2 linked regions of the Diceros bicornis minor genome follow. The protein of the gene in region 1 purifies or fractionates together with the protein of each later gene. This does not show direct contact. Links are inferred from orthologs where the notes say so. Each region holds a gene or a part of one and is shown in the gene's direction. Other genes may lie near its edges. The genes, in order: USP4 and DCP1B.

What was found.
Region 2: the proteins of USP4 (region 1) and DCP1B purify together in Homo sapiens (co-immunoprecipitation; 3 studies listed by BioGRID and IntAct, with this or other methods). This does not show direct contact. The link is inferred for Diceros bicornis minor from reciprocal best matches to the Homo sapiens genes USP4 and DCP1B.

Annotation. Positions count from the first base shown.
Region 1 is NC_080741.1:50,516,158-50,528,911, reverse strand, and holds the start of USP4 (ubiquitin carboxyl-terminal hydrolase 4), read left to right. Parts: upstream 1-6,369; 5' UTR 6,370-6,531; coding exon 6,532-6,632; intron 6,633-8,823; coding exon 8,824-8,951; intron 8,952-12,754.
Region 2 is NC_080756.1:60,623,820-60,635,737, reverse strand, and holds the start of DCP1B (mRNA-decapping enzyme 1B), read left to right. Parts: upstream 1-6,796; 5' UTR 6,797-6,806; coding exon 6,807-6,956; intron 6,957-6,990; exon of another isoform or gene 6,991-9,275; coding exon of another isoform or gene 9,276-9,293; intron 9,294-11,733; exon of another isoform or gene 11,734-11,855; intron 11,856-11,918. UniProt on the Homo sapiens protein: May play a role in the degradation of mRNAs, both in normal mRNA turnover and in nonsense-mediated mRNA decay. May remove the 7-methyl guanine cap structure from mRNA molecules, yielding a 5'-phosphorylated mRNA fragment and 7m-GDP.

The DNA of each region.
Region 1 (12,754 bases):
TTTCAGGGGGGCAGCTGGAGCTGAAGCCAGATAGCCAAGTGCCAGTGATGTACCAGGTCCCGTTCTAGGAGCTAAACATATAGTGCCCAAGAATCACCTGGGTGCTTGTTCAAACCTATGTTCCACGGCCCACCTCCAGAGATGCTTATTTGGAAAGTCTGGGGACTTAGAGTTCTACTCAGTGACCTACAGCTGAACCATGAAGAGAGACTTTCTGCTCCAACTCTCCTGTAAAAGGTCAGTGTGGCCCAGGCCACGCTCTGGTTAGACTCCAGCATAGGAACCCAGGGCTTTCCAAACTGACTCCAACCTCTTTCCCCCAGGCTGCCTAGTGACTCAGCCCTCCTCACCCACTCTTAGTTTATGCCTTGGGCTGCCAGGGAAGGGAACTTCTGAGCTCCCAATGTGGCTGACCCTGGCTGGTGAATACTCCTTCTCAGACTTCAAGCTGCCTGCCTCCCTTAACTGAAAGTCCTTTCCAACTCTCTCTTCTTCAGGAAGACTCAGAATAAAGCCAGTTAACACTTCATCTTCCTCCCCAAGAAACTGGGTTTCTTCCCCCAACACATACAAACACACACAGAAACACACTCCCACACATACACATTCTTTATCATTCAACCATGTAACTGCTACTGGCTCTGACCTGCACCCACCCCACCCCATAGTGAATCAGCAGCTCAAATGAACAAGTAAAAGTGAAAGAATCCTAGTGAGCCTCCCTGAGGCCCTAGCCTTTGGAAGAAGTGGCTGCAGGACACTGCTTGATCTGGGAGCAGGCAGCAGCATTTCAGCTACAGGCCTTCTGAGAAAGGGATGGGCCCTACTGTTATTCAGCTAGGTCCAGATGCTTCCATTTTAGCAGTTCTTCCAGAAATGCTGGTTTTTTCCTTTTGTTTTTGTTTTTTTCAAACATTAAATCTGATAAAACTATGTATACCTATATCAAATAACCACGATGTACACTTTAAATATTTTATAATTTTATTTGCCAATTATACCTCAGTAAAGCTGAAAAAAAAATCTGATAAAATTTGGTCAGGCTCTTCTTGCGCAATTAGCCCTTTATCAGATGACTTCCCTATTCTGTCTCAATGTAGTTCCACAAACAACATTTAAAGCAACTTTATTTTCAGAGAAGCATTCCTGGCCCGATCACCCTAATAAATCTTATAAGTTTTTTTTTTAAAGATTTTATTTATTTTTCCCCTCAAAGCCCCAGTAGATAGTTGTATGTCATAGCTGCACATCCTTCTAGTTGCTGTATGTGGGACGCGGCCTCAGCATGGCCGGAGAAGCGGTGTGTTGGTGCGCGCCCAGGATCCGAACCCGGGCCGCCAGTGGCGGAGCACGCGCACTTAACCGCTAAGCCACGGGGCCGGCCCAAATCTTATAAGTTTTAACTTTTGTATAATACTGAATAAAAAATACTGGCTAAAGATTTCCCCAAGAGAACACAGCATGGATTTATAAAGAATGGGCAGGCTGCTGGCGACCCAGGTTCAGATCCCGGGCAAGCACTGACACACTGCTTGTCTGGCTATGCTGAGGCCACGTCCCACATACAGCAGCTGGAAGGATGTGCAGCTATGACATACAACTATCTACTGGGGCTTTGGGGGAAAAAAATAAAATAATAATAAAAAAAGAATGGGCAGGGATCCCTGTCAGAGAACTCTGAATTTGGCAGGTTTTTGTTATTACAATCACCAAGCAGGCTGGAAGAGCATGCTTTCACACACTAACATAAATGTGGCTGGCATTAAAATAAAGCCCAGCTCGAGCTGGTCAACAAGTTACTGGACACATGCCTCGCATCAGGCACTACTGGATCAGGAGCTGAGAGCACAAATGAGAGAAGTCTCACGGGCCCTGGCCCTGGGGGTAACAGAGAAGGAAACTCTGAGCCCTGATATCCTTCAGCTTTGACCTACCCAAGAACTCAATTCTAGACTTGTCAGGTGAGAAAATAAAAACAAAAATCACCATCTAGGTAGGCCACTTGCTGGTGGGTATTCTGTTAGTTGCATCCAGAAGCATTGAGATTGACATGACATGATGGTGATGTGCTGGGCAGGGGCCCAGCAGCCTTTCCATCATTCATCCTGCAGACAGAAACTCCACCCAGGTCTAGTGTAAGCTGTGGCCAGCAAGGCCAGGGCAAGAGACCACAAAACAGGCCCAATTTATCCAAATGCCTAGAGTCTGAGCAGTATCCAGGGGCATGTGCAGACCACTGTGGGTGGTGTCCTACAGTCTTGCAGACCACCTGGCTCCACAGGGAGGCAAGTGGAGGGGATCGGAGTCTCCCTGCAAAGGAAACACCTGTTAACCCAGCCTCCTCTGTCTCTAGCATGTGACTATGTCTGTGTATGTGTAGGTGAATCTAAAGAAGCCCTGGTTCCCTGAGCATTCCTTTGCAGACTCATCATGCATTCCCAGAGGCAAGCCAAAGGGAATGTTAAGCAAAGCATGCCTTTGCTCCCTACACCAGTTGCTTAAGTTTCCTTCCCAGCAAAGGTCTGCAGCATCACCTTCCATGTTCCTATAGCACTTTTATCACACAACATAGAACACTGTAATTACATGTGAAAACATCTTCCCCAACCACATTGGCTGTGAACCCCTGGAGGGTAGGGACTATGAGCATATAACAGGTTATTAGTCAAATGAAAAAATGACTAGTATCTGGATAGTTCTTTCATTCATTCATCCAAGAAATGCTTACTGAGAATCTGCTGTGTGCAAAGGGCGAACATGCATAATTAACATCTAAATACTTGTTTATGGTTAAGACATTGATGGTAACAGAATTAGAGGAGGAAGAGAAGACACTAGCCACACCTGGGCCCAGGGTGCCATGCTCTCCCTGCCCAGTCAGGGCTGGCCACCAACAGTGGCATAACCAGAATGGAATCTGTCCAACGGTATGAGTTTCCAACATAGGAAAGTTGATTCCACTTCCACTCTGTGAGATTGGTTCAGGTTTTTGCCTTTGTCACCTTCCTCAGTAACCTAATCCTTATATAACAGAGGTTATAATGTCACGGATGAGACGTTTAATTCTTTCAAAATGTACTTCTAGAGCTTTTTACTTTTTCACAGTCTCCTGGGCAGGTTAACGAAGCACAGGCAAGAACAAAACAAAAATATTTCTCTCCTGATGCCACCTTTAATCAAAAGGTGCCCAATATTTGTGACTCCTGTCACATGTGCTCTGTTTCTGCTGGCCAAATGTGGACCAAGGGTGACTTGGGAGGGCCAACTCCAGTCAGGTGTAGAGCAAGCCATAGTACCAGTCAAGGCAAGAATTTTATAACTTGGAACAAAGTAAAGCTTGAAGTTCACAGATCCAGACATTACAAACCCTCAATTAGATCATCACAGTCCAAGATCAAGCAGTATGTGATCAATCAGCCAGGCCTGTTCCCTCTATATCCCTTCCTGCGTTCTTTCCTGTTCTTGTGGCCCAAAATCCCATGGCAACGGGTGGGTTGTTCAGTTCTGGGGTTTGGTGATGGGGCAAAGTGAGTGCTCTACTAGGCCTGCACCTCTTCCTAGGGTAAATGGCCAGAGATCACAGCCCTGGGGCCAGGGTGTCTCCAGAGCTGAATCATTGAATTCATTTCCTGCCAAATCCGCAGGTCACTCCCATAATAGTGGGAACACAGAAAGATGTTCGTTGTTTCTAGTTCTCAATTTTTAACTCACTAAATGAATGAAACTCACTAAAAAAGTTTTAAAACTGGAAATAATGCTGATCTTCCGACTATAAAGTTTCACTTTATTCCTTGCGTTTTAACTAGTGGCACTTTGTAATCTTAATACAAATTTTTAGGAGCTACTCATAATTGGTGCACTATTTTTATAGCTATTTAACAGCACTGAAGAGATCCAGGCTTAAAAAGATTTTCCAAAGTTTTCTTTTTTTTTCATTTTTATAATTAGGTTTTGTCCCTCTTTCTAGTGGTGCTGAGTACTTGTCGTACTTCTACTTCCTTAAGACTCTGACCCATGCCATAAATGGTAGGGAGAAACTGCTAAAAAAAAAAAAAAAAGAAAAGGGAAGCAGATACCCTCTAATGTAGGTTCTGAAGTAATGTCGGTAACCCAACTTTCTTTTTCCATAAATAACAGGACTAACGGTAGTGTTTCTCATTTGACAACATTTTTAACAATTTCAAAGAGCTTTCACAGAAGGGCACTTGTCAGGGTTGGCTCCCCAGATGTAGAATTATCACATGATTATAACTTATCTGCAGGGGATTAATTGCTACATGGTCATTCAAGGCAGTTTCAACTCCAAACTCATTATCCCTTGCTACCTACCCAACTGCCAACAGGTGTCTGTTACCAGATGGTGTGTGATGGATGTCCCAGGGTGTGCAAATTAATCGAAATTAGCCAAAACCCAACATAAAAATTGTAAATCTATTCAAATGACCTACCACACCTTCACCAGGCCAGCTCTCCGTCCTCCATCCCTAACACTGAACACGGTCTCCTGTTTCTTCTCTCCTCCCTCATAGCTACCTCTCCAGTGAAATGCTACTAATAGGTCTCTGGGCTATACCACTGTGGGTGTAAAGCACCCTCAGCCATTTTGTCTCTGCTCCAAAATTTCCTACAATATCTGTGGGCCATTTAAGGCAAGACATGTGGCCCCTCCAGCCTCCTTTCTATCTTTAGATCTCAGGCTTTTTCAGTAGTCTGATCCCAGCTCAACTGGCCTAATGCTCACTCTTTGATTCTGCCCCGCCTGTTTCAGAAATTGTCTCCGACCCCTCTAGTCTCTCCTCCTGTAACATGCACCATCATTTCTACACTTTCTTCAAGACCACACTCAAATGCTACTCAAGTCAAAGGCTCCCTTTCACAGCTCTGGACCTAGTCTTTGGTTCATATCCTTTTTTTGTGTGTGTGAGGAAGATCAGACCTATGCTAACATCTGCCAATCATCTTCTTTTTTTGCTGAGGAAGACTGGCCCTGGGCTAACATCCCTGCTCATCTTCCTCCACTTTATAGGGGACGACCCCTCTAGTCTCTCCTCCTGTAACATGCACCATCATTTCTACACTTTCTTCAAGACCACACTCAAATGCTACTCAAGTCAAAGGCTCCATTTCACAGCTCTGGACCTAGTCTTTGGTTCATATCCTTTTTTTGTGTGTGTGAGGAAGATCAGACCTATGCTAACATCTGCCAATCATCTTCTTTTTTTGCTGAGGAAGACTGGCCCTGGGCTAACATCCCTGCTCATCTTCCTCCACTTTATAGGGGATGCCACCACCGCCACAGCATGGCTTGCCAAGCGGTGCGTCGGTGCGGGCTAACATCCCTGCTCATCTTCCTCCACTTTATAGGGGACGCCACCACCGCCACAGCATGGCTTGCCAAGCGGTGCGTCGGTGCGCGCCCGGGATCCGAACCGGGAAACCGCGGGCCACCGCAGCAGAGAGCCAGCACTTAACCGCTTGCGCCACCGGGCCGGCCCCTCAAGGGTTCATATCCCTTAACGGCACTTACCACACACTGCTTGGCACTGGGGTTATTTGCGGAAGATTTCTTCTCCTCTATTAGACTGTATAAGTGCAGGTATTAGGTCTTATTTTTCTCTGAGGGCCGGAACTGCTAGGCAAGTGAACGGAGACTGGCGTAGACCAGCTGCTTGGCATCCTCCTTGCTCTGGGCTTACTTACCCGTCCAGGAGGAGGGCTGTGTTTTTTATATGCAGGGTCAAGTAGAAAACATACAGTGTTCAGGACATTGTACCTTGTTGCGGCAACAAATTAAGAAGCAGCCTGGGCACCTAATGTGGAGAACACACCTGGACCTCTCCTTCCCCCGTTGCTATGGACCCTCTGCGGCTGCCTGTCTCCCTGACAAGGCAAGTAGCTAGCTCACTGTGGACGGCTTGTGGAATTCTGCCGTGGGCAAGGTGATTCTGGCGTCCAGAGTGTTTGGAACGATTGTTAACGACTAGACCACACCGTCGAGTCCCGGTCCCAAGGCGCTGGTGCACCAGGCACTCCCCGAAATCCCTGTAGGGCCTCCAGGACAGGAACCTCGATCCTACTTTTGTGCAGTTAAGGACTCGCCTAAGGTCTCTGCTGAAAGCGGAATGGCAGGAATGACTACAAGAAAATATAGTTCCAGGGCTTTTCACACCGGTTGCTGCGCTTATTTAAGAACAGAATAACCCCGCAGGCCAGGACTGGATACCCGAGGGTCGAGGGGCACCACACTCCCGCCCCAAGGTGAGGCCTGCAGAACGGAAGGAAGCGGCGGCTTCTTCCCCGGCGCCCGCCTCCTCTTCCGGTTCCCTCCCTGCTCCACCACGTACCGGCAGAATAGGCGCGGCGCGCAAACGGCGGCAAGAAAAGGCAAAGCCAAGCAAGCGCTCAAGGCCGCGGAGCGGGGTGCCCTTTGGCGCGCGCACGCGCTTGCGTGCGTGCGTAGGTGGGAGCGGCCCACAGCACGCCGTGCGCTAGGCGGATGTCCGGGCCGGCTGGGCCGGGGCAGCGGACGAGATGGCGGAAGGCGGAGGCTGCGGTGAGCGACCGGATGCGGAGACCCAGAAATCCGAGCTCGGGGCCTTGATGAGGACCACTCTCCAACGAGGGGCGCAGTGGTGAGTGCCAGGCCCCCCTTTCGCCCGGCCAGGGCCAGGGACCGGGGCTCTGGCGCTCAGGCTAAGCCCCTCTTTCTCGGCTTGGGTAGGGGCCGGCTGGAGGCGATGTTAGTGACCCTGAGAGAGTGACGTGACCCCCGCCTCTCAGGAGAAGGACCCCGGGGTCACCTCTGGGAAAGCGTGGGCGGAGCTGAGGGTCGTCCCGGCCCATACCGAGCCCCAGGGCGCGGACCCAGCGGGGGCAAGGGCTGCAGGTTGAACAGAAGGGGAGTGCTCACGGGGACTTGCAGGATAGGAAGAGCCTTTTACCTACCAGGACTTGCCGCGTGACCTTGGGCAAAGGCATCAACACCTCATAGATCCCCGTTCCTTACTGTTAAAACCAGGGTAGCAATATTTGGCCCTCCGCCCTCAGTGGGTTGAGGCGAAGATCAGAAGTACATACTTTGTAACTTATAAACTGCCGAATAGATGTCAAGGTCAGAAGCTGAACAAATGTCTGAGAGCCCCAGGTTATTTGGTAGCAAATGTCAAAAATAATTGTGGCAGCAGCATTTCGAAGTGGGAAAGTAAGGTAGCCTACAGCCTAGATAAAAAAGATTAAAAATTTAGGGTTTAGAAGAGCAAGTCGGAGACCAGGTTTCTTAATAAATTGTTTAGTAGAAAGGACAGTATTTCCAGTAGTGAAGAGATTCCTGGTATTATTGTGTGGGAGTAGAAAACTGGGGGTTGGCTTTGCATTGAATGTGATTGAGCATCCCTCTTTAAGAAACTGTGGTGGTGTTGGTCATGGCTCTTATAATGACAGAGGAATTGAGCAGTGAAGAGAGACATTGGGGTTAAGAGTTGAGATACATTGAGCAGGGAAGAGAAACATTGAGATCAGGAGAAATTCGAATAGAGCTTTACAGTGTTCTTGAGCTAGCCGAACCGTGAAAGGCAGGGCAATCAGAGGTGCTTTTAGAAGTTATCCTGCATAGGAGTGATGTATGAAGGATACTCAGCAGAAGCAGAGGAAGTTTGGAATAGACTAAAATCACACACCAAAAGTGTTTGGAGTGTATTGTTCAAGGGGTTTGGAGGGAAAAGAGCATTCTAAAGATTTGGATGTGTTTATGAATCCTTGTGGCCTTTGGGAAGCTGCCTGATATCCTCTGAAGTTTGTTGGTTATAAAATTTGAAAGACTCACCAATATAGTTGTTGTCCTTTGTTCCCCCACAGAGTTTTCCCTTCTTCTTTTAAAGATTTATTTATTTATTTATTTATTTATTCCCCCCAAAGCCCCAGTAGATAGTTGTATGTCATAGCTGCACATCCTTCTAGTTGCTGTATGTGGGACGAGGCCTCAGCATGGCCGGAGAAGTGGTGCGTCGGTGCTCGCCCGGGATCCGAACCCGGGCCGTGAGCAGCGGAGCGCGTGCACTTAACCGCTAAACCACGGGGCCAGCCAAGGTTTCCCTTCTTCTATCTTAATTGTAAAACAGCATAGTGATACTTTTAAAATATAACCAGATCAACTTGATGCTTTTTGACAAGATAGACATACCTAGACAATATTGTGTATATATATGTGTGTGTGTGTGTGTATATGCACGTATATGTGTGTGTATGTATATATGTACATATATTTACATACATATACTCACACACATTTTTTATCTTGTTTGGTCCTCAAAGGAAAACTGAAGTGTGGGATGTTGTTATCCCATTTTCAGAAATAAAATTAGTTTAATGCTGTTCACATCAGGCAGAGCAGTGTAATCAAACTGTCTACCTGGACAAGGACCTCTGTAAAGATCATTAGGAAATTAACGACTTGACAATGTTATAAACCAATGTTACTGCCATAAAAAAAACAAAATTAAAAAAAATGAAATTAATGACTTGGTCATTAGCAAACAAGATTTTACCTATAGAAAGACTTCCTTTAAATAAGCATTTTGAAGCCAGTCATTGCCTTCCTTTCATTTATTCATTCTTTCAACAATCGTTTCATTTAATGGATGCCTGCCCTGGATCATGGCTCTCTGTGCCATGTGGTTCCTGGCCCTGCTCCTGCTTTGCCGAGTGTGTCTTTCAGTAGGTATTGCTTGTTCCCCAAGTGAAAAGACCATAAAAATATTAAGGGAGCAGCTGCAGAAACTTACAACCTCAGCTTTTCTGGAATAGTAAATTTTTGTCTGTCTCTAGGTATCTTGTTGACAGCCGGTGGTTCAAGCAGTGGAAGAAGTACGTGGGCTTTGACAGCTGGGATATGTACAATGTGGGTGAACACAACTTGTTTCCTGGCCCAATAGATAACTCCGGACTCTTTTCAGGTGTGGTATCCTATTGCTTTTCTAACTGAAATGTCCACCTGGGCAATGACCTGTGGTTGTGTTTATCTGTAACATGGACATTGTGAACCTGACTTTCCAACTGTGAGGGGATAGAAACAAGTGTCCTCGATTTGTGTCTATAGCAGAAGTCTTTGCAGACCCTCAGGGAGAAGTTAATTTTTTCCTAAATTAAAGGCTTCTAACAAGAGCATGCTTCTAGCATTTTAAATCTCTCTCTCTCTCTCTTTTTTTTGCAAATTAATTCTGCTAGAGATTTCAGATTTTAGATTAGTCTGTGGAATGAAAAGAAATAGGATATCATTTTGAAATTGCATCTGGAATCTGAAAGTTGGGAACCAGAATTTTCTGTGTTACCTTTGCAGTGTAACAAATTGTAGACCTGTCGACATTCATCAAGCGTTCCTGTGATGGCTATGTTTGTTATAGAAGTAGTGTGAGGAGAGGTGGAAGGTCAGTAGAGCTATGATTATAGTCAGCTCCCAATGGAGGAAGTGATTGAAAAACTCGTATGACGCACCTGAGTTTGACTTGCCCCTGTAAATGCAGAGATGATGATGAGCCTTTCCTAGGCTTTATTCTGCCTGTCTTTAGACTCCCTCGTAAGCAGGACAGAGGTGATCTGTTGCCTGTGCCCAAAATCAGGGCAGCAGGAAGGCAGACAATGCGTGAGACTTGATCCAAGTACCTAACACTAACCTGGGTGTTTTTTTGTTTTTTGGGTTTTTTTTTTTAATTTTATTTATTTATTTTTTCCCCCAAAGCCCCAGTAGATAGTTGTATGTCATAGCTGCACATCCTTCTAGTTGCTGTATGTGGGATGCAGCCTCAGCATGGCTGGAGAAGCGGTGCGTCGGTGCGTGCCCGGGATCCAAACCCAGGCCTCCAGCAGCGGAGCGTGCGCACTTAACCGCTAAGCCCCGGGGCCGACCCGAACCTGGGTGTTTTTGAAAATGAGCAACACTTCAGCTCAGACCTTGTTTTAGGGGAGATCTTTTAAATGACGCAATAAACAATGTCATATGCTTTGTTTATTGATGTAGGTCAGATGATGGCATTACACCATGGAGTTGTCCCAAGGGATCGTTGCATTATGTTTGTGCTTTGTCCTTTTCCCTTTTTTTTTTTGCTGCAAAGGAGAATTCTTGATTTTTAATAGTAATAGTGATGAGAATCCTAGAGCTGGAGGGGCCCTCTGCAGTAATTTTGCATGACCTTCAGCTAAGGGCAAGCATTCCTTCACTAGTCCCCCAATTTGATGTCACCTGGCTTTGTCTTGAAACATTTGCTGTGTGCTTGGGAAGTGAGAAGTACATTCCGTTCAGACCCTGAAACATTGACAGTAGAGGAATGACCTCTCTCTGGCGAATGAGTGTCACTCCCTTAATTCCCAGGCTCTCAGTCACTTGCCAGTCCCAGTCTGGCTGCCTTCCACCTAGGGTCATGAGGGTGGCCTGGAGGGGGCTCTTGAATGTGTGGGAAGAAGGGCCGGCCCTGTGGCTTAGCGGTTAAGTGTGCACGCTCTGCTGCTGGCGGCTGGGGTTCGGATCCCGGGCGCGCACCGACGCACTGCTTCTCCAGCCATGCTGAGGCCGTGTCCCACATACAGCAACTAGAAGGATGTGCAGCTGTGACATACAACTATCTACTGGGGCTTTGGGGGGGAGAAAAAAAAAGTGTGGGAAGGAGAAGTTAGAGCGTATCCTTGCTGATGTTGTCTGTAGAGCACCCCTTCTCTCATTTACACCTCTGTCCCTACTCTATATCACATGGAATCCCTACGCTTAGACCAAGCTGTGCACTCCTTTTCTCCCTTTATTTGCCTCTCTGTTGAAGAAATTTTCAAAACCCTTGTGTGATGTTTAGCATGATGCTCTTGGACTGTCCAGTTTTAAGTGAAAATAGTGAACTGCATTGAAAATTCTAGTTAAGTTTCCTGCATTTGCACTATAGTGTCATAAGAATGACATGTTGGGGAAAATTGTCACTGAGCCTCGGAGGGGGAAGACGCCTGTAGAACTGATGTTCTTGGAGTTGAGTATGCTGAAAGCTGTTTGTTTCTTTCCCACATTTGAAGGTTTCTGGTTGCTGTTTGGCACAGTACGGGTGGCTAGATCTGCATAGTGCTTAGTGTTAGAAATGAAGAAGGTGTTTCTTCCCAAGTAAGACAATAAGTGAATAACTTTTATGAGTTTTAATTTGTAAATCAGAGAAAAGTTTGGAGTTTAGATATCAGTTGTTTTTGGAAGCTCTTGTCTCAAGCAAACTGATAAATACTGCCCCTGCACCATCCTTCTGTTGCTGAACAGACAGGGTGTGGTCTGTCAGTGTTAAAAGTCATTCCAGAGCTGCTAGGGAAAGTGGTTGGCTCATCAATGAGAACGATCCATCTTTTTTCTTTAATTATGGTAAAATACACATAACGTGAAATTTAGCATCTTAACCATTTTTAAGTGTACGGTTAAGTAGTATTAAGTATGTTCACATTGTTGTGCAACCAATCTCCAGAACTTTTTCATCTTGCAAAACTGAAACTCCATACCCATTAAACAGATAACTCCCAATCTCCTTTTCCCTCAGCCCCTGGCAACCACCATTCTTCTTTCTGTCTCTGAATCTGACTACTCTAGATACCTCGTGTAAGTGGAATCATACAGTGTTTGTCTTTCTGTGGCTGGCTTATTTCTTTTAGCCTAATGTCCTCAGGTTTCATCCATGTTATGGCGTGTCAGAATTTCCTTCCTTTTAAAGGCTGCGTAATATTCCATTGTATGTATATACCACATTTTGTTTATCCATTCATTCGTCCCATCTTGGTATTCCTGTTCTCCAAGGCTAATTCCTTTCCTTTTTCCTTGGAATGAAAAAGGCAGAGATGGATGAGATTTGAAACTTGCCCTAAAGAAGAGCAGAAGACCCACTAGGATGGGGTGTAAACTGGTGAGAGGGGTGTGGAAAAGCCCTGGTAACCTTGTGAATGCTGCTTATGGTTTTTGTTTTTAGCATTGTTTGCCTTGAGTTACAGATGAGTTGCACCGTTGTGGATACTTTTTGCTTTTCCAGGTTTGTGGCTTCACTTATCTGGAGGAGGACAGTGGCTTCCACTACTGCAGGAATGGATATTGATGGGCACAGGCCTAGCAGGGAGGCTCCCTTGGTGGGAGGTGTCAGTCTTCACTTGATCCAGTCCTTTGATCCTTCATTGAGGGAGTATGTTTCAGACCATGGATGTCCGCTTCTGACTGCCAGTCTTGTTGCCTTTTGGTGGTGGGCGTAAGATGGATGTTTAGCATGTTAAAGATGTTCTCCCTCCACATGGGGGTGTCTAGCTGGGTTTTGACTTGGAGTGTTGAAAACTAAGAATGCTAAATGACTCTTGGCAAAATAAACTTAATTTCAGTGACTTGTTTTTTTGCTCTCTTAGTAAATCTTTCAGGGGAAGATGATATCTGACCTTAATGCAGTTTCACTAAACAGAATATTATGTTAAATATTCATAATTAACAATTTTAATTACGGAATCTGGAAGCACTTTGAAAATGTAAATTGGAGTTTTTCTCTTTTATCCTCCCTTCTCATTACAATTGTAGAAGAAATACAAGCTCCTCATAAAATGTTCAGAAAGCATGTCTGAAGACAAAGAGTAGTCAGGTCTGTGCCATGTTATGGCCAGTGACAGAATTTTGGAATTTTATACCTGTTTCTATAAACACTTAAATCCCTATAAATATTCCTATAAATAAGTGCATAAGAATCATGTAAAACAAACATGTCTGGGGAGAAGA
Region 2 (11,918 bases), on another chromosome or scaffold:
TTCCCCCATCTTGCTCTCCCTCTTAGTAATCAGGTGCTGATTACTTTGGCTGAGAGGCATGGGCATTAGCTACAGTCAGGTATTTGCATTTTAAGTTTATCATCTCTTCATGTGACATTAAAGGCACCTCCTCATGTCTTGGTGTGTTCTGGGCGTTGGCAAGCAACTGCAAAGATGTTGCTGTAGAGCTCCTTTAGGCCCACTGAGCCTTCACCAGACCCCTGACAATGACAGTAAAATGAACAGATTTTATAGGACTGACAGAAAGAGGCAGAGAGAGATCAAAAGAGAATGTGCATGGATGGTCTCCCATTCCAAAGACCTCTGATTACCCCGGCCCCTGTCCAGGTCAGATGAGCAGAGGATTAGTCGAGGCAGCTGCTGGGCCCAGATGGGAGAAGTCCTGACCCTTTTTATGAGCTCTAGCCAAGGCCCCCTAATAGGCCTCTTCTTTCCCACATCTGTCCCTTCTCTTTCTGCTCCAAGTCTGTCTGATGAGTGTTTCAAATCTTAACCCCTTTGCAATCTCATGGAACACAGAGCTATATCTCCTACATTATTTCTTCCTCTCTCGTTGAAGTTTCTGATAAATATGTTTTAGCTCATATTCTCTATCGTATAAGAATATTGGGAATGAACTGCCTTGGGAATTAATGTGTTCCTTGTCACTTACGCAGAACTCTGTTGAGATGATTTGAGCATTGGCTAGGTAATTGGACAAGAAGGATCCCCTCTGAGCTTCCATTAGAAATAATAATAATGATGATGATGATTATAATAATAATAATAGCTTTTTTCATTTGCAGAACATTTTACAGATTGCAAATCTTTTTCAGGTACGTTTTCTCACTTGATCTTATTTACCCCGTGAAATTGGTAGGGCAGATATTATGATCCCCAAGTTATGAGTGAGGTCACTCGTTGAATGTCACATAGATAAAAAGAGGGTTAAACTAGTTTCCCCTTCCAGGGGGTGCCCTTTCCACTGTGCTCTGCTGCTTAAAAAAGAAATGAACCATGCATTGAAAACAACTGATAACACACGGCTTCAAACTGTTTTCCTTCACTGGGAGAAAGAGGGCATTAATTTTTCACTTCTGTCATTCTTTAGCGTAAAATTCCTAGGAAAAAAGGGCAATTCATACAGGCAGCACAAGCAGAGCATCAGAGGCTGTTTAGGACATTTTAGGATCACAAACTATCAGGGGGCATCCTGGAAGCTCCTCTTTCCCCTCCATTCCAACACAGCCTACTCCAGCACAAGTGCAAAATTTAAAGCTTATTTACACGGTCAAGACAAGACCACTAATAAAGCAGACTGTGTATTTATGTTTCTGGATTATTATGCTATAAAAAGTCACTTTATATTTGTATACACGTGGCTACAAAACCACACATTTTTCAGTTATATCCCTATTTTCAAAAAATTTAAACATCCTATGTTCTTACAATTACCTTGATTAGATTAGGTGGTGCATTTTACCTTAGCCATTGCAATGGTATAAAAATCCCAGATCCAGACACTATTTTTTTTATCATACTACAAATTTGTTTTAAATTGTGGTATATACCTTTATAATAACAAGTGTTAGCACATATTTAATCTCATAATGACAATTATAAAATAATCATGAAACCCGAAGTCACCAATATTTGAGGCTTCTGAAAGCACAGTGGAAGTATGCCAGCACTGTGGAAGCCAATGGAAGTTGAAGTTATATGGCTTAAAAACGAATCTGCCTATTTTAAATGATCTTTTAGATATATAGAGCCTGCAACTTAGTATACTTGGGTAAGGGATGATGACCTGGCTCTGCAAACACAGATTATTCAAGTAAAAAGTAGGCAGAAGTCTGGCTTCATCCTAGAAGGACAGAACTTTAAAAATTTGGGAAAACAGAGCTAAAAAAAGAAAACTCTGTGAACCAGGGAGATGAACAACCTGGCAATTCTGAAGTCACTGCAACATTGTGTCTCTTTTTTTCTGAGCAGGATTTCTCACCTTCAAGGTTTTTTCCCTTTTCTTTCTTTCTTTTTTTTTTTTCTCTACAATGTGTAAAGTTAAAAAAAACCCTTTCCATTTTTTCCTATCTTCCTTAGACTGCAAACTCTGAAAAATCAGGACTTGCAATTGTATGCTCTTTTATCTTGACTTGGATTTTAGTATTCTCTGAATCATGAACTCAAAAAAAAGACATTTAACGAATAAATTTAACTCAGCGTTTAGTCCAATAGAATAAGCATTTACTACTAAAGCTCTACTGAGCACAAGGCATTGAAGTGCTAGGGAGACAAGTGGGGTGAAAAGCAAGTATATAAAAAAATAAAACATTATGAAACTTACTATTTCTCTCTTTTTGCTTATCTGTCAAGAAACTCAAAGCTAACTTTGTTGTCAATTGCAATAACTGTTCTCAGCCTAGATTTTCTCTTCTAATTACAGCGACTCATTTTTTGTCCTTTTTAGAAGTGGGAAAAATATATATAACAAACTAAATAATTAAATAAATGGCTATAATTTGAGTTAAAGTATGACAGGAAAAACAGCAAGGGGGCACTGAGAGGTCATGGGAAGGAAGGATTGTATGGAGAGGGAGGCAGGAGGTGAGTTTTCTGGGAAAAGGACATTCCAGGCTCAGGGGACAAATGGGCAAGGAACAGAGATGGGAATGTGTAAGATATTGGGAAGAAAACAGTTCAGATACAGGAAGGTAGAAACAGGACATGGGTCATTTTCTTCATTAGTTCCTAAAAACAAACAAACCCTTCTTTACTAAGAATCATATTGGTGTGTTCACATATGTGAATCTAGCAATAAGCAGGATAATAGTATGTTCATCTTATCATGCATGAGATCAGGGACTGGGGATGACATGATCCTGTAATCTCAGCACAGACATGACAAGCAACAATAAATGGTGAAGAATGAATGAATGAAGTTCATCCAGTGGCCTGTCAAGAAATGCTTTATGATTGTGGTCATATAGATCACTCAGGGTAGAGGGCATTTTTGCTCTATGAATATTTAAGATACAATAATGGCCCCTGTATTGCCTGTTTTCTCTATTGAGCTTAAAGCAATTTGGGGGCCAGGATTTATTCTTTACACCTTAAAGATGGAAAGATTAAAAATTAAGAGGAAAATGATCTTGTATAAGGCTCACGGAACTTAAGGGCAGAGCTGGGGAAAAGAAAAGAAATGTCTCATTCTATGTGCAAGGCAAATGCAAAGTAGAATCTGTGGGTTCATGCCGAATAATCAAAATTAGCAGAGCTAATCAAGTGAGCGAGTCAGACTCATTGTAAAGGAAAAACCTACAGTTTTTCCACCTGTGTAGGGAAAAACTCAGTTCTTCCCTATTATGAGTTTCTTCCCTGTGTGTCTCCTTTGCTATTCACACAGAACACTTCACTTCTGACACTTCTGGTCACCAAATGTCTGGAAGTTTTTCCCCACAACAAGCAATTCTCTGTGACACCAGCTGGGTGTCCTACAACTTAACTCAATTCTGATACTACCTACAGGAGACAGCATCAGATCCCACAGGTTAAGGGCTCAGTCCCACAGACTGCCTGCCCACCCCACCCCCCAACCCCCTTCAGACACCAGTCACAAGCCCAGGTTATCACCTGTGCTTCTGACTAACAGGCTACAGATCAGAGGTTGCAAAGACCCTCTCCTTGGGTTCCATTAATTTGCTAGAGCAGCTCATGGAACTCAGGGAAACACTTACACTTACTAGTTTATTAAAGGATATGATAAAGGATACAAATGAGCAGCCAAATGAAGAGATACATAGGGTGAGGTCTGGGAGCCTCCTGAGGACAGGAGCTTCTGTCCTTATGGAGTTTGGGGGCACCACCCTCTTGGTATGTGTATGTGTTCACCCACCTGGAAGCTCCCCAAACCCCCTACTATTGGGATTTTATGAAGGCTTCCTTACACAGACATGATCAATTATTAACTCAATTTCCAGCCCTTCTCCCCTCTCTGGAGGATGGGGGGATGGAACTGAAAATCCCAAGCTTCTAATCGTGGCTTGCTCTTTTGTTGACCAGCCCCCATCCAGTAGCCCACCCAGAGTTACCTCATTAGAACAAAAGACGCTCCTAGTGCTCTTATCATTAAGGAATTTACAAGGGTTTTAGGAGCCCTGTGTCAGAGATCAGGTCAGAGACAAATATTAGAACAAGAGATGCTCCTAGTGTTCCTATCACTTAGGAAATTACAAGGGGTTTAGGAGCTTTGTGCCAGGAACCAGGGACACAGACCAATACATACATATATATATGTGTGTGTATACATATATATATACACATTTCTATTATCTCACACTAGTTCATCACAAAATTCTCCTCGCCCATATGATAGATTAAGCTTGTTTTTAGTAGTATGTAATCAAGAGGAAAGAGAGTGCAGTAATACTAGAAACAAGCTAGTGAACTAACATGCAAATTTGTCTAGTCAGCTTTGTATGGTTGCTCAGTTGCTGTAGTCCTATGATTTTCAAACTGCAGGTCATAATCTATTAGATGGTCATGAAATCAATTAAGAAGTCACAATCAGTATTTTTTAAATGATATGTATGTATATACATATGTAAATATATGTGTATCTATCTATATCACTTAATATTGTTGTTTCATGAAACTTTTGTTTTAGTTAATATCAGATATGGATATATAATGTATGCTCTGGGCCAGACTGCAAGTGAGCTGCAGCCCCAATCTAAAAAAGTCGGAAAGCCATTGCTGTACTTTCCCCCACTGGGAAGTTAGGCTTGGCGTCATTGGGACTGAAGATCCAAAATGGAGCTGAACCAAGCATTTAAAAAAATTAAAGCTATCTGCAAAGATTATATTGCAATTTATTTAGGCAACTGCTTTGAGAGGCTACCTGTGCCATATCTATGATATTTCTATATCAAATATGGTAAGAGTTCATGAACGTGGGTATTTCTGCACAATTGTTCTAATATTCAATACAAAATAAATGATTTGGGTCAATGGTTCTCAACTTCTTAGTCTCAAGACCCCTTTACACTATTAAAGATTATTGAGGACTCCCTCAAAGAGCTTTTGTTTATGTGAGTTATATTTATCAATATTTACCATATTGCAAATTAAAACTGATAACTTGAAAGAATATTCATTCATTTAAAAAAACAATAATAAAGCAATTAAATGTAAATATAAATAACATTTTTATGTAAAATAATATTTTCTCCAAAACAAAAAAATTAGTGAGAAATTGGCATTAGTTTACATTTTTACAAATCACTTTAGTATCTGGCTTAATAGAAGACAACTAGATTCTCACAACTGTGTCTACTATAATCTATTGCTATATTTGTTTTGTTTGAAGTATATGAAGAAACTCTGGCCTCAACAGGTATGTAGTTGGAAAAGGGATGGGTATTTTAATAGTCTTTTCAGATAGTTGTGGATAGTCTTCTTTGATAATACATCAAAACCTGATAAGTTGTAGTTTCTCAAAGGTTAGTTGCAATGTGCTATCTGAAACCCTATCCATTAACTTTTCACACTCTGCTACCTTAAAATCCATTAGTCCTTGAATGAATCTTTGCCCATGCATGATTATGTAACATCAGACATTGGTCATTTGGAAAATATTGGGTCACTGAGTTAAGCAGATCTTTCAAATGTTGATACTTTTCATTATACAATTATTTTTTTAAATCACACTCATTAATATTACAACTGATCTCATCAGAAACGACTTTAAGTATTGAGAAGTTGTCAAGCTCATGGCAGTGGATATGTGTTTTCTAAACTTCTAATTCTCGCTTGAAATCTCAAAAAATTATCATTGGCAACAATAACTGTCCCTTGTTTTCTTGGAAGTAACCAGTACACGTTATTTTTGAAAAAATGTCTGTCAAACACCTGTCTAAATAACCATAGTGCGTCCATCTTCTTTCAAGGAAAAATAGTGTTCTGTGAATACAAAAATAAAAATACTAGTTCAGCTTGCAACTCAAGCACGAAAGGGTTTTCCTGGAGACAAATACGCCATTTAGGTATTCAGCACACATGTTTTATGCATACTTCCTGTTTTTTCACACAGAATTTTAAAAGTGTGCCAAAGTGTTGAACTTTAATAAAATTAATAATTTTTACTGCTTAAGTTACACTGGCCTCTGCCTTGATTCATGCTAAGACACCTGCGCTTTTATCCCACCATTGTTTTTGCATTATTGGTCCAAATGTCGACACAGCGAAAGAGTCAAATAAGTCTTAGTGTTGTCATGAAAATGGTTTTGAACTGGCAGACCCCCTGAAAGGGTCTCATGAACTCCCAGGGGTTTCGAGGACCACACTTTAAGAACCACTGGGTGTTAGCGCACACAGAAATCACAGTTCTCTCTCTTCAGTTATTAATGCTTGAGGCTTATTTATTATTATGGGTTTGATCACCGAGCGCCAAAGGAAAGACATACCAAGGCGTAGAACACATCCAAGAGATACATCTTGAGCTGCCACGAGCGTGCAGCTCAAAGGCTCACGTAGGAAGAACACAGCTCTTGGTAGGAAAAGAGAGGCCCACCTCCAGCCTCGGCTTTTGGTTGCCAGTGGCAACGATCGTGGGCGGGAGGGAGCGCGGCCATCGATTAGTACTGTCTTGCGTCCGTCGCGGCAGGAGAGGGCGGGGCACGGCTGCAGGAGGGAGCCGTCCCCGGGCTGTGGTCGCCGCGTGTTTTCGGTGGCGAGGCGGCTCGCTCGTTCTGCGCTCAATTGAGAGTGGCTTCCGAGCGCCCTGTGTTGCTGTCGGGGAGGGAGGGAAGATGGCGGCTGTGGCGGCGGGCGGCCTGGTGGGGAAGGGGCGCGACATCAGCTTGGCGGCCCTGCAGCGCCACGACCCCTATATCAACCGCATCGTGGACGTGGCCAGCCAGGTGGCTCTGTACACTTTCGGCCATCGGGCCAACGAGTGGGTGCGTGCGGACGCGACGGGGCCGCGCAGGCAGGGCCGGGCTGGGGACGGGGTCGTCCGACGCGGGGCTGGAGGCCCCGGTGAGGGAGGAGACGCCGACGACCTGGAGGTGGACGGAGGTGGACGGTGTGGCTCGCTGGCCTGAGGCCGAAGTTGCGGAAGCTGGTCCCCGGGGCCCCGAGGTTTGGGGGAGAGGGTGGCCGATGTGTGAAACCACCTGAAGTTGGGGACAGACTTAATTAAATATTTAAGACACCCCGCGTTGGGAGAGCAGACCGGTCGGGGCCGGGACCCTGAGAGCTGAAGGAGAGAGAGGACCCGATGCCGGGAGGCCGGAAGACTGCTGTGCTCCGAGGAAATAAAGCAGGGTTCTGCTGTAGAGAAACGGGGCTGTAGAGGAGGCGGGATGCGGGACGGCCCAAAGGAAAGTTAGTTCTGGTTCTGGAACATCAGTCTTAGATGGGACCTTAGAAGGAACTGACGCTCTTGGAAAGATTATAACACCGCAGCCCACCGAGACCAAAATAAGTTTGATATTTGAGAGCCAAGTTATTTTGGTGCTCTTCTTAAAGCAGAACGTCAATAAATAGCAATGGAATGAAATTGTTTTCCTCACAATTAGAATCGAGTAGGAGCGTAAGACACCTGACTCCTGTTGCAGGAATTACCACATGCGATTTTGTAACCCACCCACTTGAATGTAGAGATGTAGTTTTTTCTCTTTTCCTCATAGTGACTTTTACCCCAGATAATATTAATTCGTCTGTTATATAACCATCCATCCATCATCTTTAAATAAGTTACAAAACAGTATAAAGAACTGGGCATGGATGAATGGATTTCAGAATTTTTTAATGTGTTCTCCAAGACAGTAAGAAACATCAAAATTGAAGCAAGCAAAACATCCATATTGAACAAATTCATATATTTTTTAACACCTCCATTCATCTATATGGCGTACTTATCTTTTGTATAGATCTTCAGCAGTCTAATAAAAATTCACCTGAAAATCTTTAACAAAAAAAGATAAAGAAGTAGGTTCTAAAATAACAGAGAACAGAACATTTTTGCTCTAAGTTCTTAACTGAGGAAATTTACTGAAAAGGGACAAGGAATTTAGGTCTGCTCTCCTTGTAGCCAAGCAAAAAGGGAAAAGAGGGAGAGCTCTTTAATATTCATTGTTCTCTAACAGGAAGTATACCTCTTGATCAGGAAAGAGAGTATTTACCCCTAGTTTTCAGAGGAATTTGTCACCTTGGTCTTTATATGAACGACATTGAGCAATGTAGTGGACAATTTCTTCAATAGCAATTTAGGAAAAATACAAAGATATTCTACATGTAGCTATTATATTGCTCTATAGAACAATGCCCAAGGCATAGTGTTATAATTTTGTCAAGGTAATTCTGTACTAAATAAGGATCAGGAATGTGTAGTTCTGTAAACTGACTTGACACTAGGGTTAGAGTCTGGAGAATCCTGAGAAATTGTTAACATGTAGAGGAGAGCATTCCTCTTGAATAACAGTTGTTTCCTGTAGGCTTTTGACAGGATCTATCTGATAGATACCTGTTGAAATAGTTACAGAGGTTTATTAGATACCCAGTGAAGCCCTTCTCCTAAGCCTCATCATTTACAGGAGTTATGTTTTCCTGCTTCCTGGACTTGTTGCCTTCACATGGCATAATTCATGCAGTAAAAGGTCATTCTTTCAAAGTACTAATCTTCAAGGCTGTGGTAACCAGAAAAGAGAGAGAGACCTAGTTCAGCTGCAGAGTGGTTGCTGGGGGTAAACAGATTGTCACCACCGATTCCACATGCCATCACTCAGGGCCTCTGGAGAAGAGCCTTTTGAACGTAAACCTAATAAAAGTGTGAAGAACATTCTTGAGAATGAAAGAGAAAGTATTTGCAAGAAGGCAGATGGAATGTAAAGGAGGGGAATTCTTATTGCACTAAAAATAGATGAAGAATGACTTCAGGCATTCAGAGCAGGAGAAATTAGGAATGAAGGGTGGACAGAAAATGAGCTGCTTTAAGGAAGAATTAAGGACAATTATGTCACGACTGGAATAGGAATTTTAGAGCTAGACCTATTTCCCATTGCCAGGAAAGACCACTCTGCCAAAATACTTATGTGTCAATTAAAGAATATAACCCTGGTGGTATTTTCACCGCTCAGTCCTTAGAGCCGTGGTTCTTAACTGGAGTTGATTTTTCCTCCAGGCAACATGTGGCAGTATCTGGAGAAAGTTTTTGGTTGTCGCACTGAGAGGGAGCATGTTACTGGCACCTAGATGGTCGAGGCCAGGGATGCTGAATGTCCTACAATGTACAGGTCAGGCCTCTACGACAAAGATTTACCTAGCTCCAAATGTCAAAAATGCTGAGCTTGAGAAACCCTGCCGTAGAGTGACTAGTGTCCTGTTGTTTCTAGCTAGTAGTTTTCTAAGTTTTCTGTGTATCAGAATCACTTGGGGTTTTAAAAAGTGCAACCCACCAAATCAAAATCTCTGGATATGAGGTCCAGGCACGTGATGCTTGTTGAAAGCTTCCTGGGTGACTCACATGCTACATACATGACCGACAGAGACAGATTTTAAAAGGGTAAATGGAGACCTACTTTTCCATTATATTAACATAGAATAATCAGTAAGATATAAATTGCTTTGAGTTGTTTCAAGTGTCAGATTGTGTGCTGAGTCCCCATAATTTGCAAACTAGCGCTATTTTATATTCCACTTTATTTTAAATTTTGAACTAGTTAATTTTTTAGCACTTGTTCTATTTTATAATAGAGTATAATATTAAATCATTAAATTATACCTTTAAAATCTAAGCTAAAATCCCCCAGAACTGAGAACTAATCCTTTAACATAAAAGTCATTACTTGGAGGACCTAATAAAATCTTATTTAGCTAATTCCCACATCCCGAACCCTGGGCTTTGCCCAGAAATTAAAAATCTGGTTACCCTTGGATAACTGTGGAGGGACCAGGAAAATGCATGAATTTGAGCTGTTTCAGCCATAATAGACCAGAAATGTATGTTTCCAAAGTCCCTTTTATCCAGGTGTTGTAGAGAAAAATGTTTTTCATCAAAAGATCTGAGTGGTGTAGGCTGGTTATCTCTTTTCAGTGGAGAAAGTGAGACGTAGAATAATAAACTAGCCCAGTATGAGCTGGCAAGAACCCCACTTCAGGTCCAATACTGTAATCACTGAAACACAATTCCTTTCCATGAACAAACTCATGCTTTTTGTGTGTAATACTATATAAAAATCTCAGTTTTAAGAATTGATATGTGAGTTAAAGAATACTTAGGAAAGCATGCCTTTTACATTTCTGATTCTGGATTTTTCAAAACTAAAATGTGGCAGTCCTTTCTTTTTTTCTTAAAGGTGATTTCTATTACTACTTCATCAAGGAAGAAAGGAAACAAGTCAAAAACTGTTAGTTCTATGTGTGCTGATAGAAGTAAACATCCTGATTTGAATCTTTAAGGTGAAATAGTCCAAGTTTCAAATGCTGGAAGACAGAAAGGTGTTTTGGCTTTGTAGCAGGTGATCCTGACAGTGCATATAGGTGCTAAGACCTGGTTCCATCACCTGTATCTTGGCTTCAGTTTCCTATCAGTGTAATAGATAATACCAAATATTTAATTTTTACAAATTTGTTCTTAAAAGCTTTGTGGACTAGTATACACTTGCCCACTGTACCAGTTAGACTTAAGGGATGCCCACAAATTCTTAGACTGTTTGGGTAGCATTTATTGTACTGTAGTGGCCGTTTTCTCAATGATTGAGATTGTGGTGGTTTAAGTAATTCTTAGTGTTTAAAGTGCACCCAGGATATAGATTTCTCAACAGATAGGAATTGACTGTGTTTGTTTGCAAAGAAAGATAAGTAATAATGTTTCTGTATAGTTTTTTCATTTTGATTCAGGGTATTTTTCAAAGCACAGTGGCAAATGGGCCACATTTGAGAAATAAGGATAGTTTTCATAGTACATTGAAATGATTTATACAGACTTCGTAGTAAATCCAGTTTAAGGATGAACTCTAACTTTCTTAGCAATGTTTGTATATTAGAGAAAAGACTGGCTACAATTGTTTTAACTGTTGTAAATTCTTTATTTCTAATTACATATTCTATAATAATGAGGATTAAAAATCTTGGTACTAAGTAACTTACTCTTAATAGCTATTTGCTCTTAAAAAACAATGTTTGGGGGCTGGCCCCGTGGCTTAGCGGTTAAGTGCGCGCGCTCCGCTACTGCCGGCCCGGGTTTGGATCCCGGGCGTGTACCGACGCACCGCTTCTCCAGCCATGCTGAGGCTGCGTCCCAACACATACGGCAACTAGAAGGATGTGCAACTATGACATACATACAACTACCTACGGGGGCTTTGGGGGGAAAAGAAAGGAGGAGGATTGGCAATAGATGTTAACTCAGAGCCGGTCCTCCTCAGCAAAAAAGAGGAGGATTAGCACGGATGTTAGCTCAGGGCTGATCTTCCTCACAAAAAAAAAAAAAAAAAAAAACAATGTTTGGTGATGTTTAATATAATTTGGGGCTTAGTGGATTTTCTGTCCACGACTCCTAATATAGTTCTATGGGCAGAGAATATGTTATTGAACCAGGGCAGTGGTTTTCACACAGCATACATCAGAATCAGCTGGATGGCTTAATAAAAAAAGGTCACTCCCCCTCCGCCCCCCCGAGTTTCTGATTCAGTAGGTCTGGGAAGGGGCCCAAGAATGTACATTTCTAACAAGTTTTCAGGTGCTGCTGATGCTACTGATGTAGGGACCACACTTTGAGATCCACTAAACTAAGGTGACCAGGAAAGCTGCTGCAATTACTTGAGCATGTGAAAGAATCATGCTTCCAATTTTTTGTGAGCCTTTTAAAAATTATCATTTTAATATTACATCTTTGTTCTTAAAGAGTGTATTTTTCA